Saccharomyces cerevisiae S288C: one gene and its partner. The gene in region 2 interacts genetically with the main gene of each other region. Each region holds a gene or a part of one and is shown on either strand. Other genes may lie near its edges.

What was found. A genetic interaction does not mean that the proteins touch.
Region 1: mutations in PPZ1 (region 2) and VIP1 together harm fitness more than expected from each alone (negative genetic interaction), as found in Saccharomyces cerevisiae (4 studies listed by BioGRID).

Annotation. Positions count from the first base shown.
Region 1 is NC_001144.5:935,448-939,207, reverse strand, and holds the start of VIP1 (inositol polyphosphate kinase VIP1), read right to left. Parts: upstream 1,668-3,760; coding exon 1-1,667. Other genes in the region: rRNA-processing protein UTP21, read left to right, coding at 1,975-3,760. UniProt on the Saccharomyces cerevisiae protein: Bifunctional inositol kinase that acts in concert with the IP6K kinases to synthesize the diphosphate group-containing inositol pyrophosphates diphosphoinositol pentakisphosphate, PP-InsP5, and bis-diphosphoinositol tetrakisphosphate, (PP)2-InsP4.
Region 2 is NC_001145.3:239,520-243,279, reverse strand, and holds the start of PPZ1 (salt homeostasis regulator), read left to right. Parts: upstream 1-1,743; coding exon 1,744-3,760. Other genes in the region: TRM9 (tRNA (carboxymethyluridine(34)-5-O)-methyltransferase), read right to left, coding at 1-55; TATA-binding protein-associated factor TAF11, read left to right, coding at 251-1,291. UniProt on the Saccharomyces cerevisiae protein: Essential for the maintenance of cell size and integrity in response to osmotic stress.

The DNA.
Region 1 (3,760 bases), on a different chromosome or scaffold from region 2:
TTCTGTTTTGGTGTTCTGTCCGCGTGACGGATAATGATAGCCAGTCCTTTGAATACCCACTTTTGTTCCTTTTCTTCACGAATAATGGGCAGATTCTTCTTTTCCATATCCATCTTCTTTTTGGCTTCAATGAAGGTACTTCTCAATATATTGGCGCATGAATCATAGTAAGCTTTGTTATCCTTTACAAAAGAAAATCCGTTAACATCAATGACGTAACTTTTACCAGAAACGCGAAGCAAATCGAAACCACAGATCATTTGTGAAAAAGCTTTGGAAACTTTCCCAGCAATGGTTTTCTCTTCGTCTGATAACTCAGTAATATATCTAACTTCTTTACCATGAGTATTTCTTCTAACTATACCATCAACCACAGGTGATTTCCTAGTTTCAGCGTGACAAAAGTTCTCACCAATCGTATAAGCCTTCACATCTTCGAAATTATCGGTATCCATAAACTGCTCATAAATGTAAGACCCCTCCGTACGAGGATGAACCAAAGTAGGATCAAACTCAGAAGACTTGTTACCAACTTTACGGAATAGACGACGACCGCCTCCTCCGTTCTTAGAATGATAGTATATATAAATGTTGTGGTCTTCACCATCAACGGGCTTTTCAACAAAGGGCTTAGTCATGGTTTTCCCATCAACTTCTAAAGTATCATCATCAACCATTTTCCATTCCGGTTCTTCAACGGGTTTAACTTCTACGCCATGCTCACGTAATTTTGCCCTTAATTCTTCGTTGGCACGGGGACCACCATCTCTACTGATTTCCAGTCTAGGAGGTGTTGGAACGTTGTAGGCTTCTAATACTTGTAGACATAATCTCCTGTCCCACAAAATCTTTTGCATTATTAAATCATTGATAATGAAAGGCTTGCGTAACTTGACGTATTTAATTGCTTTATCTAGGGGAAATCCTGAAGAAAAGAAAGATATCAAAAAGTCGCAAGTTGGCCAATTCTCTATTCTTTCATCTAGAATCACCTTATCTCCAAAAATGACAGTTTCAAATTCACCATGTTCAATTAAACGATTCAAAATGTGTCTCATTGGCTTTGAAAGGACTTTTGCATCCATTGCACATACCCCAATCTTCCCTACCTTGGGTAGCCTAGGTTTGGGATGACTAGTCGAGGATTTGCGTGAAGAAGCTGATGAAGTAGGTACAGAGTTAGTTCCCATGTTAGTCTGCTCAGCGTCCATTGTTCCTTGAGGTAAATGGGGCGATCCGGTCTTGGAGATGGAATTTATGTTATCTGCATCATTGACTATGTTAGAATTGCTGAGCCCCTCAGGATCAGCTTCTGACTTTGATTCACTGTCTGCCTTTTTTAAACCGGAAGTTGTAACTGTATTGGTGTTGTTTCCGTTTCCTAGTGCAGTGCTTATGGTTCTTTGCAGAGTATCATGCACGGTGAGATTCTCTTCACTGTGATCATCTTGAATACCGGGAGGTGGCAATTTCAAAGACATATTTTCGCTAGCTGACGTCTTAGGACTGAAACCCTCCAATATTGGTGCAATAGATTGCATAGCCTTCTGTGTGTTTTTGTTTAGGAAAAGGGGTGACATCTCAGAAGGTGCACTAGGTAAGTTATTTTTTGTCTCTTGTTGAGGAACCTCATCAGATTCAATCGGTTCCTTCTTTATCCCACTCATGACCTTCTGCAATATATTAATATGCTACGAGATGCTTTTGAATTTGTATGAAATGCTCAGTGGGTAATTTAAGTGGTGAACATATTGATTCAATGATTAATTGCATTTTTCCTATCTTAAATAAATGATTTTCTAAAAACATTTTTGAGCACGTGCTTTTTTTTTTTTAACTGAAAAATTTTGAGAAAAATTTCGCGATGAGATTGCTAATGAAATTTAATAAGTCCTAAGCACAATAAATATACAGCGAAACAGCAGCAAGGAATAAGACACTGAAAAGGCTATAGCGAGTTAGGAATAGTACATTATGTCTATCGACTTGAAAAAAAGAAAAGTCGAAGAAGACGTAAGAAGTAGAGGGAAAAATTCTAAGATATTTTCCCCTTTCCGGATTATTGGTAATGTTAGCAATGGTGTTCCTTTTGCTACTGGTACATTGGGATCTACCTTTTACATTGTAACGTGTGTTGGTAAAACATTTCAGATATATGATGCGAATACCTTACATTTACTTTTTGTTTCCGAGAAAGAAACACCATCCTCAATTGTAGCATTATCAGCACACTTTCACTACGTCTACGCAGCATATGAAAACAAGGTTGGTATTTACAAGAGGGGTATTGAGGAACATTTGCTTGAGCTAGAAACTGATGCAAATGTCGAACATTTGTGCATATTCGGAGATTATCTTTGCGCTTCCACCGACGACAATTCCATCTTTATATACAAGAAGTCCGATCCGCAAGATAAATATCCATCAGAATTCTACACTAAACTTACCGTTACTGAAATTCAAGGTGGCGAAATTGTGTCTTTACAACATTTGGCAACTTATTTGAATAAATTAACTGTCGTTACCAAATCTAACGTTTTACTTTTTAACGTCAGAACCGGGAAGCTTGTATTCACATCAAACGAATTTCCAGACCAAATCACAACTGCTGAACCCGCTCCAGTCCTGGATATTATTGCTCTAGGTACCGTGACCGGTGAGGTTATTATGTTTAATATGAGAAAAGGTAAAAGGATCCGCACAATTAAGATTCCGCAATCAAGAATCTCCTCATTGAGTTTCAGAACCGACGGTTCTTCTCATTTGAGTGTGGGAACGAGCAGTGGTGATCTAATATTTTATGATTTAGATCGCCGTTCAAGAATACACGTTTTGAAGAACATTCATAGAGAATCGTACGGTGGTGTCACTCAGGCTACTTTTTTAAATGGTCAACCCATTATTGTTACATCAGGTGGTGACAATTCCCTGAAGGAGTACGTTTTCGATCCGTCATTATCTCAAGGAAGCGGTGATGTAGTTGTTCAACCGCCAAGATATCTACGTTCCAGAGGGGGTCATTCTCAACCACCTTCATACATTGCGTTTGCTGATTCGCAATCACACTTCATGCTATCAGCATCCAAAGATAGATCATTATGGAGCTTTTCTCTGCGTAAAGATGCACAGTCGCAAGAAATGTCACAAAGGTTACACAAGAAACAAGATGGCGGCAGGGTAGGTGGTAGTACAATTAAGTCTAAATTTCCTGAAATAGTGGCTCTTGCAATTGAAAATGCCAGAATAGGTGAATGGGAAAACATTATCACTGCACATAAAGATGAAAAGTTTGCAAGAACCTGGGATATGCGAAATAAAAGAGTTGGCAGGTGGACTTTTGATACTACTGATGATGGATTTGTTAAATCTGTGGCCATGTCGCAATGTGGTAATTTTGGATTCATCGGTTCTTCTAACGGCTCTATCACCATCTATAATATGCAAAGTGGTATACTCCGTAAAAAATACAAATTGCACAAAAGAGCAGTCACCGGTATATCCTTAGATGGTATGAATCGTAAAATGGTTTCTTGTGGACTAGACGGTATTGTTGGTTTTTATGACTTTAACAAGTCAACCTTGTTGGGAAAATTGAAATTGGATGCACCTATTACCGCAATGGTTTATCATCGTTCTTCCGATCTATTTGCATTGGCTTTAGACGACTTATCAATTGTTGTTATTGACGCAGTTACTCAAAGAGTTGTTCGTCAATTATGGGGTCATAGTAATAGAATAACTGCATTTGATTTCTCACCTG
Region 2 (3,760 bases):
TATACACTTTGTGAACATACTCCTGTTCTTTTTCAGCCGCTTGGTTTATCTCCATGTTGGTTCTTAACCTTTTATTTCTTGGCTCTTCGAGACCTCATCTCTGTTCAGTTCATTACCGAATTTTTTCTCTTATTCCCATTTCTTCGACTGAAAAGTTGAAAGAAATTGAAAAATCAAGAAGAGGTATATAGAGATAATTATCCATATAAATGAAGAGCACAAAGTAAGTTTGAGCTTCAACAGCGCAACGATGACCGAACCTCAAGGTCCTTTGGACACCATCCCGAAAGTGAACTATCCGCCAATACTGACAATAGCAAACTATTTTTCCACAAAACAAATGATTGACCAAGTCATCAGTGAGGACCAGGACTACGTTACGTGGAAATTGCAAAACCTGCGAACGGGTGGTACATCAATCAACAACCAATTAAATAAATATCCAAAATACAAATACCAGAAAACCAGGATAAATCAGCAAGACCCGGACTCTATCAACAAAGTCCCAGAAAACCTGATCTTTCCACAAGACATTTTACAACAGCAAACACAAAATAGCAATTACGAAGACACCAATACCAACGAAGATGAAAATGAAAAACTTGCGCAGGACGAACAATTCAAGCTCTTGGTAACCAACTTGGATAAAGATCAAACTAATCGGTTTGAAGTTTTCCATAGAACATCCCTAAACAAAACCCAGGTCAAAAAACTGGCTAGCACAGTAGCTAATCAAACTATAAGTGAAAATATTCGTGTTTTTCTGCAAGCGGTGGGAAAAATATACGCTGGTGAGATAATCGAATTGGCCATGATTGTGAAGAATAAGTGGTTGACAAGTCAAATGTGCATAGAGTTTGATAAGAGGACCAAAATAGGCTATAAATTGAAAAAATATCTAAAAAAATTGACTTTCTCCATCATAGAAAACCAGCAATACAAGCAAGATTATCAATCCGATAGCGTTCCCGAAGACGAACCTGATTTCTACTTCGACGATGAAGAAGTAGACAAGCGCGAAACTACGCTGGGCAACTCGTTGCTACAGTCCAAATCCTTACAGCAATCAGACCATAATTCACAGGACTTGAAGCTACAACTCATCGAGCAGTACAATAAGCTCGTCCTCCAATTCAACAAACTAGATGTAAGCATCGAGAAATATAACAACAGTCCCTTATTGCCCGAACACATCCGTGAGGCGTGGAGACTCTACCGTCTGCAGTCGGACACTTTGCCTAACGCTTACTGGAGAACTCAAGGAGAAGGGCAGGGATCCATGTTCAGATAGCTGCCCATAATTGTCCAACGGCTCCAACATATATCAATCTATATATAAACATATATATAATTTTTAACATGTCGTTTGAAATGACATGTCTATTTTTAAAAGGATAGCATATAAATTAATGAAAAAAAAAAAAAGAAAACGATTACTGCAGATCTTCTAATTCTGTTAATCAGCTTTCTCTTGTGAACCATTGGCAGGTGGGTAACATAAAAGCACAATACAATAGCTTCCATTATTAGTTTTGTTTGTTTTGGCAATACATGTTAAATCTTTTTCTTTCAAGTTAAATATAAAGATTATATATAAAAGTACTTCTTTGGAATACATTTGATTATACTTTTCTTTATCGTTTTATTTTTATTTCATCGTTATAGTCGCTTCTTTTCCCCTAGAGGCTTTGTCATAAAACAACAAATCAACCACTCTCTGCTTATCTTTCCTTCCTTTTCAAAATGGGTAATTCAAGTTCAAAATCTTCGAAAAAGGATTCACATTCGAATTCCTCCTCGAGAAATCCTCGTCCTCAAGTGTCGAGAACCGAGACTTCCCATTCTGTGAAGTCTGCAAAATCAAATAAATCTTCAAGATCAAGGCGATCTCTTCCTTCTTCGTCCACTACGAATACTAATTCAAACGTCCCTGATCCCTCCACTCCATCAAAGCCCAATCTTGAGGTTAATCACCAACGACATAGCTCTCACACGAATCGTTACCATTTCCCATCTAGCTCACACTCGCATTCAAATTCTCAAAACGAATTGTTAACTACTCCTTCATCATCCTCTACTAAGAGGCCTTCTACTTCTAGAAGATCAAGTTATAATACTAAGGCTGCTGCTGATTTACCACCTTCAATGATCCAAATGGAACCCAAGTCACCCATTTTAAAAACAAACAATAGTAGCACACACGTATCCAAGCATAAATCTTCATACTCATCTACCTATTATGAGAACGCCTTAACCGATGATGACAATGATGATAAAGACAACGACATCTCGCACACTAAAAGGTTTTCTAGATCTTCGAATTCTCGTCCGTCCAGTATAAGAAGCGGATCAGTGTCAAGAAGGAAATCAGATGTGACCCATGAAGAGCCTAACAATGGATCATACTCCTCTAACAATCAGGAGAATTATCTCGTTCAGGCATTAACCCGGTCAAATTCTCATGCATCTTCGCTACACAGTAGGAAATCTTCGTTTGGATCAGATGGTAATACCGCATACAGCACCCCATTAAACTCTCCAGGCTTGTCCAAGCTAACAGATCACTCTGGTGAATACTTTACCTCTAATTCAACCTCCTCATTGAATCACCATTCAAGTCGCGATATTTACCCGAGCAAACACATCAGCAATGATGATGACATTGAAAATTCATCTCAATTGAGTAATATCCATGCATCAATGGAAAATGTTAATGATAAAAATAATAATATAACAGATAGCAAAAAAGATCCGAATGAGGAATTTAATGATATAATGCAATCTTCCGGAAACAAAAACGCTCCAAAAAAATTCAAAAAGCCTATCGATATTGATGAAACTATCCAAAAATTACTGGATGCGGGCTACGCTGCTAAGAGAACAAAAAATGTTTGTTTGAAGAACAATGAAATTTTACAGATTTGCATCAAGGCTCGTGAAATCTTTCTTTCTCAACCTTCCTTATTAGAATTATCACCTCCTGTAAAAATTGTAGGCGACGTTCATGGCCAATATGGGGATCTCTTAAGGCTTTTTACCAAATGTGGGTTCCCACCATCCTCGAACTATTTATTCCTAGGTGATTATGTGGACCGTGGTAAACAGTCACTGGAGACTATTTTACTATTGTTTTGTTACAAAATAAAATACCCTGAAAATTTCTTTTTATTGAGAGGCAACCATGAATGTGCTAACGTCACAAGGGTTTATGGATTTTATGATGAATGTAAACGTCGTTGTAACATCAAGATCTGGAAGACATTCATCGATACTTTTAATACATTACCATTAGCTGCTATCGTAGCCGGAAAGATTTTTTGTGTTCATGGTGGATTGTCGCCAGTTTTAAATTCTATGGATGAAATCAGACATGTAGTTAGGCCTACTGATGTACCAGATTTTGGCTTAATTAATGATCTTTTGTGGTCCGATCCCACAGATTCACCCAACGAATGGGAGGATAACGAACGTGGTGTAAGTTACTGTTATAATAAGGTGGCAATTAACAAATTCTTGAACAAGTTTGGGTTTGATTTGGTTTGTAGAGCTCACATGGTTGTGGAAGACGGTTATGAATTTTTCAATGATAGAAGTCTCGTTACGGTGTTTTCCGCGCCAAATTATTGTGGTGAATTTGATAATTGGGGGGCTGTAATGAGCGTCAGCGAAGGTTTATTGTGCTCTTTTGAATTGTTAGATCCACTAGATAGTGCAGCTTTGAAGCAAGTTATGAAGAAAGGTAGACAGGAAAGAAAACTGG